Linked DNA regions of Oryctolagus cuniculus. The protein of the gene in region 2 interacts with the protein of the main gene of each other region in a biochemical or structural test. Links are inferred from orthologs where the notes say so. Each region holds a gene or a part of one and is shown on either strand. Other genes may lie near its edges.

What was found.
Region 1: the proteins of SH2D1B (region 2) and ERBB2 form a complex in vitro, tested with the Homo sapiens proteins (2 studies listed by BioGRID and IntAct, with this or other methods). The link is inferred for Oryctolagus cuniculus from reciprocal best matches to the Homo sapiens genes SH2D1B and ERBB2.
Region 3: the proteins of SH2D1B (region 2) and SLAMF1 interact in a test that uses a peptide from one of them, tested with the Homo sapiens proteins (2 studies listed by BioGRID). The link is inferred for Oryctolagus cuniculus from reciprocal best matches to the Homo sapiens genes SH2D1B and SLAMF1.

Annotation. Positions count from the first base shown.
Region 1 is NC_091448.1:22,688,295-22,691,909, forward strand, and holds part of ERBB2 (receptor tyrosine-protein kinase erbB-2), read right to left. Parts: intron 649-3,615; coding exon 497-648; intron 1-496. UniProt on the Homo sapiens protein: Protein tyrosine kinase that is part of several cell surface receptor complexes, but that apparently needs a coreceptor for ligand binding. Essential component of a neuregulin-receptor complex, although neuregulins do not interact with it alone.
Region 2 is NC_091438.1:36,298,434-36,302,743, reverse strand, and holds the start of SH2D1B (SH2 domain-containing protein 1B), read right to left. Parts: upstream 2,812-4,310; 5' UTR 2,665-2,811; coding exon 2,531-2,664; intron 1-2,530. UniProt on the Homo sapiens protein: Cytoplasmic adapter regulating receptors of the signaling lymphocytic activation molecule (SLAM) family such as CD84, SLAMF1, LY9 and CD244. In SLAM signaling seems to cooperate with SH2D1A/SAP.
Region 3 is NC_091438.1:38,255,992-38,260,340, reverse strand, and holds the start of SLAMF1 (signaling lymphocytic activation molecule), read right to left. Parts: upstream 2,810-4,349; 5' UTR 2,667-2,809; coding exon 2,591-2,666; intron 1-2,590.

The DNA.
Region 1 (3,615 bases), on a different chromosome or scaffold from region 2:
GGCTGGCTGTTTCCAGGAGCTCCCCTCGCTGTCTCAGGTCTTTCTCTTTTGACCTTTGTGAGGGGTCCCCAGCATGCCTGGTGCTCCCACTATACAGACAGGGAAGCTGAGGCCCAGGGCAGCTAAGGATTAGATCATATTCACACAGCACATGAGCGGCAGAAGTGGGCCTGGAACTCACCTCTCCCACCACCCTCTCCGCTACCATAGGTGGGAGAGGGACCGTGGCCCGGGCAGTCCGACAGGGGAGGTGGTCACGCTGGCCAGAGAGCGCCAATGTGGCAGAAGCACAGACGCATCCCACTCAGGGCCCCGGCCAGCTATGTGACACAATGAAAGTCAACTGATTTCGTAATGGAATGGGTAGGAGTTAGACATCAGGAAGGACTTCCCGGCTAAGGAAGCACAGGGCAAAGCACCCTCTTCTACCGCCCACCTATAATCAGAGGACTCAGCCCAGCTGGAGGAGGGCCTGGCTGGGCTGCCCCGGCCTCACCTGCAGGAAGGAGAGACTGGCATTGGCAGGCAGGTAGGTGAGTTCCAGGTTCCCCTGCACCACCTGACAGCCCTGGTAGAGGTAGCGAAGCATGTCCAGGTGGGTCTCGGGACTGGCCGGGAACCGCAGCTTCATGTCTGTGCCGGTGCACACTGCGGGAGGGGGCACACAGGTCAGAGGATGCTGCCCTCCACACCCGCCCCAAGACGGGGAGGCAGCGCGGCTGTGAAAGCCCGTCTCCCACTTCCTGGCCCCCCTGCAGCGTCATGTCGGGAACAAGAGGCAAATCTGGGGAGAGGCTCCCTTCTGGCTGGGTCCGCCCTGGGCACCCAGAGGGGCCCTGTGTGCCGGCCCCAGGGGGCTTGCCCACCAAGAAGGGCAAAGAAAGCTTCCCTTTGTCCCACAGGCACCAAGCAGGGCCGGGGGGTACAAAACCCCCAAGAGGCGATGATGAATCATGAAACCTCTGGGTACCCCCTGCCCCTTTCCCAAGTCAACAAACCCAGGGCATTCTCCCTAGGCCGTTCTCACACACCCACACTGTCAACCTCCTGGCCAGCGCCAGCCGCCCCCACAGTGCCACCCAGCAAGTGGGGAAGGAGGGGCGGCGGGTGTCATAGCTGGGACATGGGGCAGCCCGGGCCCTGGGCGCTGCAGAGACCTCTAGAACTCCCCACCTCCCCACCCCACCCCCGGCAAAGAGAAGGCGCCTCAGACACCAGTATGGGCATCCGGACCCCAGCAGAAGATCCTGGGCCAGGGCGAGGCACGCTCTGCAGGTACCTACGTTGGCACCCTCGCCCTTGCCACCTCCTCAGGGCAGGGCTCCAGAACCAGCTGGCAGAATCTGTGCCATGAAACTCCTGCCACGGGGGCACAGCGTCAGCTCTGTGTACCTGCCCGGGCCAACCAAGATGCACCGTCGCACCTGACCCCTCCTGGGCCTTAGCATGGGGGTTCCTGAGACCAGAAGGAGCCACTCAGCCCAGGGAATCGATGGGAGGGGTGACCCTCCCCTGGTGAGGGGCACTCTGGGAGCAGCATGCCCCATGTCTGCCAGCGGCGGGGGTGGGGGGAGACGAAAGTGCCCAGTTGAACTTGTTTTTCTGCTCCGGTGAGAACATGAATCACCTGGCGCGTCCTGCCCAGGAGCGTGGAGGGAGGCGGGCGGAGGGCACCGTCAGTTACACAGGCTCGCAGGTGCCTGAGCGGCCCAGAATTCCTGCCGGTCTCTACTGCGCCTCCCAGGGACCAGAGCAGTGGGTTTGGGGGTCTGGCGCCAGGGGCTCTCCTCTCCCAGCCACCTGCAGCTTAAGGTCAAGTCTTAGGGGGCGAGAAGATACCCACCCCCCCACCCCTGCCCCAAAGAGCCGGGGAAAGGCTGGCGGGGCAAGCCGGGAATCCCTCGGTGGCCTCCCAGTAACGCCCAGGCTGCTCTCTGGTCCTCCCCGCTGGGCAGATAGGATCTCTCTCCCCCGGACACCAGGACAGGGGACTGCCAGGTCTCCCCACCCTTTGCCATTGCACCCCTCCCTTGCCCCAACCCTTCCCCCCAAAGACTCCCAAGAGAAACAGGAGCCGGGGGTGGGCGGCCAGGCCCAAAATAACGCCCGCTGCCGGGACCTCCCCCCGCCAGCAGCTTCAGCTGCTGCATAGACACAGCTGTCTCCAGGCCCAGATCCCAGCTCTGGCCCAAGCTGGGGACAGGGACTGACAGGGCTGGGGCAGGGGCCCTCCCCATGTGGCGGTCCACTCCTTGTGGCTCTCCACCACCTGCAAGGGACACTAGCCAGGGCAGCCAGGCAACGAGTCAGCCACCACCATGGAAGCGCCACCTTGACCGGGCTGGGCACCTACTGTGCGCCCAGCAGGCACTTGGCAATCCTCACGACATGCTGGGGGCCGGGACTGCCACCCTGCACAGAGGAAACAGGCTGGCAGTGACACTGCCCCATGAGCGACAGGGGCGGGATTATACGTAGGTCCTTCCGCTGCACACACGGTGTCAACAGTCACTCTCCTGATGCCACCGAGAACAGGCTCTAAGGCAGCGCAGGGGGCTGGGCAGCAGGGTCAGGGAGAGTGGCAGCCACGCCCCGCTAGCCAGTCTGTTTACCTGACTTGCTTGCGGCTGAACCGAGACTAAGACTCTCAAGGGTTTGCCGGCAGGTGGTAGAATTGGTACCCAGGGCCCGGGAGCCTTGCAGGCTACACCCCTGCCAAGCTGTTCAGAAGGCCCACCTGGTGCCTCCCCTGCCTCCATCTCCATCCTACGGGCCCCTTCCCCAGGCCCTTCGGTGACCCCCATACCCAGCCTTGCATGGTGGAAGGTTCTAATGCCCACCAGGGACGCTGGCCCCTGAGCAGCCCCAAGCTCAGGGGCCAAGAGTGAGACAGGACCAGCCCAGAGCCAGCACAGGGCCCACAGAACAGAACTTGTGCCTGCTGAGTGCATACACCCAGTCTAGTCTGCCTCGGGAGGCAAAGGGGCCAGGTGCGGTCTCGGTGCCCATTCCTCCGTGCAGAGCGGGGCGCACTCCCTCCTGTCCCTCCTGCGGGACACTGGTGGTCAGGGTTTGGCCCCAGTCCCGGGCTCTTTGATGGGTTCTCTCCTCTCCCCCAGCCTTTAGCCCAAGCTGCTTCTTTGTTCACAGCATGAAAGCTAAGGCTTCCTTTGGTTTCCATGAGTACCACCAGGGAACTCCCTTCATCCCCAGACCCCTGCGGCCACAGCCATGCCAGGGCTCACCCCTACACACACCTGCACGGTTTAGGCTGTTTTTAGACCAGAACCCTAGCGCAGCCACTCTCTCCGTGACCTTGTGAGGCCTTGCACCTGCAGGGCAGAAGCTCCCTGGGATTCATCTCCACACCTGTGATTTCCTTGGCACCCAGCGACTATTTCCTGGCCTAAACTGGGTCCTAACGACTCTTACTCCCTCCAAGCAGGTACAAGAGAGTTAAACGAGAGCTTGAATCCAGAGGCAGTCTGTAAACATGGCAAGTCTTTGTAAACAGAGCTGGGGCAACACAAACATTAGCTGTAATAATTCTCCCACTCCTTCAGAGCACACACATCCCTCGCCCCTACCTCGCCTCTCTTCCCAAGGGTGAGGAGG
Region 2 (4,310 bases):
ATCTAAACATTTCTTCAGGTTCTACCATGATACACTTCACTATCCTTTCTATAAATTAAAAATATTCGGATGGTGGTGTTTTTCTTTTTCTTACTGGAAACATATTGAACTTACAGACTAATTTATGATGAACTGATATGGTTTTCAACTGAGTCCCTCCACATTGGCAAAGGGACCCAAATTCTTTGGTCTGACTCCCAGCCACTCTGATATGGGATGTGTGGGTCTCGTAATAGCTGTGTCAAACACTTGCCTCTTATAATTTAACTTTATAAATAGAAGCCCTTACTGAATTTCCTTAAAGTTTTTGGCAGTTTCTTTTCAGTAGCATCTTAGATTTTATAGATATAAAATCACCACAATGTCAAAGAATAATTTTGTACCTTTCTTTTACCTTTTTACATTTTTTTATTTACCCCATGTGCTAATTACACTTGTTAGGATTTCCTGGTACATGCTACATGGTAGTACTGTGATGGGCAGCATTGACTCAGTGACGCCCTTAGCAGGAATTCTTCTAGTGCTGCACCTGATCTGTGGTTAAGGGAGTATCTGTAGAACCCTGTATTGTTAGAAGTTTGTAAATGCATGCCCATGTCTGTATGTGTGTTTAATTGCATTTTGTAACTTTTAATCTATTAATGTATAATTACACTAATATTTTTCCTAACATGAAGTCATCCATTATTTCTTGAATCGTACCATACTTGAATACAGTGTTTTTTTTCTCCTCAATGAGTAACCAACTTCTGTTAGTTTATGTAAAGTTCATTTTAAAGGAATGTGTGTGTGTGTGTGTGTGTGTGTTTCCTCTTTTGTGTTTGTGTCTTCTTTGGAGAAAATGTTTGACCTCTGTACACAGAATTTGGAGAAGAGAAGTAAAAGGAAGATAAACCACTGAAGCTAAGAAGATGTGAATATGTAATTCTCATAAAAGGAACTACCAATGCTTAAGAAATATAAGGAAGTATTCTCAATACCACTTGTAACTTGATAATAGAAACTGACAATACCTTAAGTCTATCTTTCTCATATTTGTATCCTCAGTACCATTTTAAGAAAGATATATTCCTTCATATTTTACATGGGATCTTCAAAAAGTTCATAGAAATGCATATTATGAAAAAACTATGCATGTATTTCAATTTTTGATGCCAAAATAAACTCATCTTTTAATTGCATATTTCATGAACTTTTTGACTTTCTCTCTCATTGGCAATAACAACCACTTTTGTCCTCATAGATTCCCAATTCTGAGAAGTACAGAAGTTCATTTACAGAGTGAAAAGATTCTTTACATGGCCTGACAGGGGTCAGACTTCTGAACCTTCTCATGGGCCCATATGCCCACTTCCTTTTAAAATGCCACTTTAGGAAAGAACCTTTCTAAGTCAGTTTGACAAGTGCCCATCACCCTTAATATCTGGTCACTCTTGATATCTAACCAGGTTTCTCATCCTCTGCCATCCCCCAGGTGATGTCTGATCAGCCTGGCTTGTCTTCAGCAAGACAAGCTGACTGGTTTGGCCAGAATCCCCCTCACCTCTATGTTTTCCCCTATAGTTTCCTATTCTCTCACCCTCGCTTTGTTCCTTAATTATCAGCTCCCACAAATCCATGCATATACTGAGTTGAATTCAATTTCTCTCCCCTACTGCAAGTCCTTATTGTAGTGAATCCTATACCTGTCACAATGGTTCCACAAAAGAGTCTCCCTCACCATGCTTTACCAAATGTCAGCAAGTAACTTCTCATCTTTGACAAGAGACACTGAGTTCTAATTCCTATAGTAGATAGAATAAAAGTTTTGGTGATCTCTACAAAATATTTTGTAACCTTTGACCTGTTAACTAATGCAAGGTGATGTATCTTGGGGTTGCACTGTAAACTGGGCAAATACACAGTTTCTTTCAGCAGAGCAGTTCTTATACGCTAGCCTGGAATTTCACATTTAACTCAGACTCTGGAATGGCTGATGACTTTTAACCCAAACAAGGCATTTGAGAAATCTAGATCTGTTTTTTCACTTTTAGAGGGGACTGCTTCTGTTGGCCTTGATAGACCACAGGAAGGATGAAAGGAAATTATGTAAATTGAGGCCCTTTACAAATCTAACACAATGTGAAATGTCATTAGTATCATTAGTATTTCTAAGGACTGCAAGGAGATGCAGCACGATATAGCACAGTCAGTCTTTGTGATTAGAATTTCATAAAGAGCCCTACATGTTTTCCATATTAAATAAACAGACTTCCGGAGGAGAGGAACTTTCTGCTATTTCTACCTTTTCTCCACTCCTCATACCTCCCATGCTTCCTGCAATCCTCCCCTTCGCCCACATCCACAGCCCTGCTTCTGCTACTGCAGAGATTACAAAGGTGGCATTCACACCAGGGGCAAAAGGGCATATGGGAGAACATGCACGTCCTGTCCCAGCAAAGTCAGAGAGAAGCCCAATTCCTTCACTATGTGGCTGCCATGATGACTTTGAATATATAGTTTCAAATGTGTGGAAACTGAGGCTACTCACGAGACACAGAGGCACAGGGCTCCTGGTATAGACTCGCTGTCTCTCAACAAGAAGTTGCCATCCACCCCTTCCTGGAGCAACAAGGTTTCACAGTCCTGCTTGGTCAGAGGGCCATGGTAGTAAGACAGATCCATGGAGAGCCCTGTTGTATTTTAGGCTGTCCCGCTAGCTTGACATCCAACTCCAAGTCAAGGAATGGCTCTGAGAAGGGAAGGGAAGGCTGCTGACTTGAAAGGGCCTGTGGAAATATCTCTTCCTCTAGTGGTGTGGGAGTGGTGTGAGGTTGCTCTGTGGGACTCACCCAGTTTTATCAGATCAGGAAATGAGAAGGGCGGAAGTGATGAAGTGACCAAGACCCTTCAGGCTATAAACGGCTTTGATGTGACTCAGAGAAGTGAATGAGAGTACCTTTGGGGTCACAATGGATTTAGTGATGGTCCTCACTGGGGCTACAATGGAAAAGGCAACTCCCAGGAAACTTACTGCAACCTCATGTATTGCCAGATATCCCTAGTCTTTACCTTCTATGGCTACTGGTATTTTTTCCAGGGAGCACACCTTGTTCATTTTAATGACTACGTATTTCTGCTGATGTTGCCTCTAGTTAGTCAATGCTAAGCTCAGAAAGGGTGCTCAAAAAATGTTTGTGAGGCCAGCGCCGCGGCTCAATAGGCTAGTCCTCTGCCTGTGGCACCGGCACAGTGGGTTCTAGTCCTGGTCGGGGCGCCGGGTAAGTACCGGTTACTCTTCTTCCAGTCCAGCTCTCTGCTGTGCCCCGGGAGTGCAGTGGAGGATGGCCCAAGTGCTTAGGCCCTGCACCCGCATGGGAGACCAGGAGAAGCACCTGGCTCCTGGCTTCGGATCAGCGCAACGCGCCAGCCACAGCAGCCATTGGAGGGTGAACCAATGGAAAAGGAAGACCTTTCTCTCTGTCTCTCTCTCTCACTGTCCACTCTGCCTGTCAAAAAAATTTAAAAAATGTTTGTGATGATTTTTAACAGCCCTTGTCTCAACTGTTGAGGAACAGTGTTGTTTTTTTTTTCCCCACACTATTTGTTGACCTATTTACTTAGTGTTGGGTATAAAGTTAACAGATCTTTGTAAAAATTAAGAGTGGGAATAAGAGAGGGAGGAGGAAGAAGGGTGGAAATGTGGGCAGAAGGGAGGGTAGGATGGGAAGCGTCACTATGTTCCTGAATAAATATATATGAAATACATGAAATTTGTAATACAATTTTTTGTAAATACAATTTTTTTAAAGAAAAAAGTGTTTGGATGCTGAAGAGTTGATACACCTAGACACACTGTTAGCAAAATGGTGCAGTCTTAGATGTGGCGTGATCTACACCCCGGACACAATCCTAGGCTCTAGCCCCCACTGCCATTGCTGGAAGCCAGGTGACCAGATGGCCCAACCACAGGTGTCAGCTCCACTCCCACCCTAATGGGATTACTTGCTCCTACTTTCCTGCCCCATGACAAAGGTTTAACAGGACCTGTTTTCCACACATGTGTACTCTCTCTTACTTTCTTGCCCTCTCCCCCGGGCCCATTGGGCTTCCTCCACCCAACAATAAACCTTTCCTCTAACTCTGGTGTTTGGTGTGTTTTGTGGTGGCCTTATAACAATGGGCCAATTGAAAAAGACTTCCACAGGTCAAACGACATGAGAAATGGAAGACATCAATGAGAACAGAAGCTATTGGACACCACTGGAGGACAGCCTTCAAGGCTCATTGCCACTGATGAACAAAGGCCATTTTTAACACTTTCACACAAT
Region 3 (4,349 bases), about 2.0 Mb from region 2:
CCAACTCACACAGTTCAATTATAGAACGCATATTCTAACTTATACCATGAGAGCTGGATGCAAATTTCAGCATCATCCCCGCTTTCCAGGCATAATGTTCTCCAGTTTCATTCATTGAGATCTCCGGTGTCAGGTTGTATGAGCATGGAGAAACTGTTAAATTACTCCATACCTCTCCTCCCTTTTTTATAAATTTGTAATGGTAATAATGATAATACATCTCATAGCATTGGTGTGAGACGTAAATGACAGATACACACAAAGCACTTAGAACAGTGCCCGGTACATAGCAAATATGAAATGTGTACTAACATTCTTCTTTCAACAAACATTTCTGGATGCACTTTCACATACAAACAACTGTGCCAGGGGCTAGGCAGTGGCTGTGATCATTCTATTTGCTTTCTCCACACTTTGTACAATGCTTACCATATCATGTTTTCTTAATAGATAGCTGCTTAAAAGATATCACCCAAAGTCCATCTATGGATAAAACCAAAATGTCCTGGTGTTCTGATTTCCACTCCAGTCCTGGAGTTAGTTTAGATGTCACAGTAGGAAAGCTTTTGGGAACTACAAGCACCTAGATCAACATCCTGGAATACAATGGACCATTAAACACACAAGGTCAGGTCAAGGCTAGAACTGTATGCTTGCTTCTCACCTCTTAGCCCCTGTATGTGAAGAGGATGAGGAAGTCCTGCATGGAAAAAGGAAAAAATCTTTTTTGGGTTTATCAAGTTTAACAAATGTACCACCATAGTAGGAGGTATGGATAACAGAAGAGGCTCTGTCTGTGTGGGGCAGAGGGTTTTAGGAAACCTCTGCCTTCTGCTACATTTGCTGTCAACCTAAACCTGCTCTAAAAATAAAATCTTCTAAGAAAAATTTCCTTGGTGGGAGCTGGGAAGGGGACATGTGAATTTTTAGGCTTTTATGATTTTGACTGGGAATTGGAAGTTGAGCTGAGCAGAGATGGAAAGGAGAGTGTTGCTGATTTTACAAGAATCAAACCTTGGTTGGGTAAATCTGTCATGACTGACCTGTCCCATTTGCAAAGTGTTTCCGTCTGGGTTTTATTGGGGTTTCACAAAAGGGTGCATATTTGAAGAGAAAGACTGAAAAAATTTTGTATACATTTCAGAAGATGGAACACAAGTGAAGGAGCAGCAGCCAATTGAGCAGACACGCCTTCTGGGGCTGGGCCATTTCTCCCTCACCAACTACCTCCAGAGCCGCTGTAAGCTGTATGAGAAATACCTTGAGCTGGACTGACCAGTGTAACTGACTTGACCATTCAAATAAGCATGGAGACAGAAAATCCAACCGCTAGGACAATCCATCATTCCTTACAGTCACACACAAGCATGCCAAAAACCTAAGTCACAAATGAGGTACAACAAGGGAAGCTTGGCTCTCCCTGTGATCACTCTAAGTGGTCCAGTGTGGCCTTCTGAGCCCTGTGTTCAGTTGTCCCTTTTCTAGATCCCACAAGTAAGAACTCTGATTTTGTTGATTCTGCAAGAGAGTGAGGCCATGGAAAGGCCTCTTTACCTGGGAGACTGGCACGAGGTAGATCCCACACACGGCTTCCCTGCATCCCTCATAGATCCCGGGGCTTTTCCTGCCAAAGTCTATGATGGATCTGTGGTCTTGAAAACCCCAAAAACACCCTGGGCCTCAGGGTTTCCCCCTGCCCCTTTCTCTAATGCCTCCTCTATTCCAGGTTGCCTCCCAAAGTCTAACTTAAGTCGCAGGGGTGTAGGCAGGAGATCCTTCTCCTCCTCATGCCAACAGCCTAATGTCTATTTTCTTGTTTGGCATTTTTTTTTTTTAATCTCAAGCCCTGAAACTACTAAGCAGAAAAAAATAGTTTGCCTTGAGAGGCAGACAAGCCCAGCTCCAAAGTTTCAGCTGCCATCTGGCTCTACTGCTGAAGCCACTCTGACCCTGAGGGCTTTCAATTTGCATTTCCCACATACTGTAACCAGCCTTGGGTTCAGAAATCCCAATATTACCCCCTTCTGTTGCTTTGGAAGCTTCTCTTCCAAGAAAGTAGCCACCAGTATGACCACACTGAGGCCACTGTTTTTGTTCTCAACCAAAGGCCTGGGGTTTTCACTTCTTACCCTTTCTTCTCACTGTAGCCCTTGCTTTTTGTTGGGCCAGATTCTGGTTTGTGTGCTTGTATATGTAAGCATTCAGACAAATCATATCCTAGGGATCTGTCCCCCAAAGCCTGGGTCTTGCCGAAGGGTAGTCATGCAAAATCAACCCGCTTGGATAGGACCCCGGTGAGAACCTCTTGTGATGAGAGGCTGGTTTTGAGTGTGACAGATGCCTTTGGCTAGGAGCTCCTGGTTTCCTTGGAAACTAGGGTTGATGAGGTTAAGGCAGGGAACCCAAGGGCCCAGGAACTCATAATGGTCCTTCCTCCTTAAAGAGGCAGTCAAAACTCACAGCCAGTCCCTAAGGAAGAGGCAGCTGACCCACAGTCCCCAGCCCCTATGCCTTCTCTCCATCCACAAGGCTATGCTGGTCCCCAGCAGCTAGCTGTGGGACTCAAACCCCTAAACAGAAGAACACTCACCCGCTACGTAGCTCAGTCCAAAAGCCAGGGACAGGACCAGCAGGAGGCTCCAGGAGAAGTACCCCTTGGTATCCATCAGCCAGCGAGGAGAGGGAAGGGGGCCTGGCCGGGAGCCCGGCGGCCGCTCGCAGGCACGGCAGCAGAAGCGGGCTGCGTGTCAGCAGTGCTGCCTCTGCTGTCTAGTTTACACATCAGCAGCCAGCAGGTTCCTGAACTAGCTTCCTGTCTCACTTGGGACTTTTTCTGCCTGTGTCTCGAGGATTGCTCATCTCTCTTCAGGCCTGAAGTCACTTTTTGTTCTCAAGAAACACGTACGAGTCAGGCACTTACATTACTGGAGCCGGGAAAAGGGTTGTGTAGTCATCCCGGCCAAACCCCCGAGTGGGGTTGAAATGGGCTCCCTTCCTACTCTCCTTCGCTGTCTCCAGGAAATGGATGTCATGACTTCTCTGAGCAGTTCCCTCTGACAACTCTTCTAAGAGTGCAAAGAAAAGAGGGAGTTTCGTCAAGCCAAGCCTCAAATGTGCCAGCTCCAAGCTCAACTTAGATGACTGAATTTTATTGAACTGATAGAACTCTTCCTATGCATTTGCCCTATAATCTCAGAGAACACTTCTGCCTGCACTCCAGCCCTGGTGCCACAGGCACAGAGAGGTGGGGTGGGGGGTGGGGGTGTGGATTTCTTGGCAGAAATCCAGTTTCCCTGTGGATACAATGTGCTGGAATATAGTGAGCCCTGTGCCATGCTTTGGGGAGTTACCTTTATTTTGGAATGTGTGGCTTTTCATTGAAGAGAAATGGCTAGAATTGGTGGAGGAGACCCTGTGCTGTTCTGAGTTGAGCTATGAGAATAGAACACGGGAAGACGCTGTTACCACCAGTGCTCTCAAGGAGGCTTTGGAAGGCCAGGTCAGCATAATTGGAACCCACCTTAAAGGTCAAAGACACTCTCCTATTGGCCTCTCCAAGGGGATCAGGGTGATAAGAATTGGTTATATGTGGGAACTTGCTCTTTATTCTCACCGTTCCCCTTCCTTCTTCACCCAGTAGCCAACCATGGTTCCCACAGCACGACACTCTATCTTGCGATAGAGCCAGTACAGATCAACTCATGAAAGCCAATTATTATATTTTCAGGAAACTGTGAGCTGATTGATAAACACGGCCATTATTAAGATACATGTATTTACACAAACTTACACTGAATAAATTATGTTTAAAATGGAGGGAATAAAACCCTCTAATTACTCAATACTTACTAATTATTTTATGAAGTTACTATTGTTAAAGCTAGTGTCTCTTTGTGGTGGAAGTAAGTTACTAGGTCATGGATGCTGCTGCGACTCTCTTCCCAGCTCTTCATTCAACGACATCATGTTGGGAGCCTGGAATCAGACATGGGGATTTATACCATGGAAATCAGTAAACAATATAAGCCGGAGCTTTCATTTATTATAATACTGTCTAGATGTGAAAAGTGACAGGGAAACATGTGCCGTGACTATAGCCCTTATGTTGAAGATGATGTAAAAAAAAAAAAAAACAGGGAAAATATTTTCTTAGTATTCAAAAACTGTCATCTGATTTGTCAGTGTCACTAATGAACAAGTGATGTTCCAACACATTTCTTTATTGTCTCACATTTCTTTAACTTAAAAAAGGACATTTTGGAGCCTGTGCCATGTCACACTAGGTTAATCCTCTGTCATATGGGTGCCTGTTCTAGTCCTGGTTGCTCCTCTTCCAGTCCAGCTCTCTG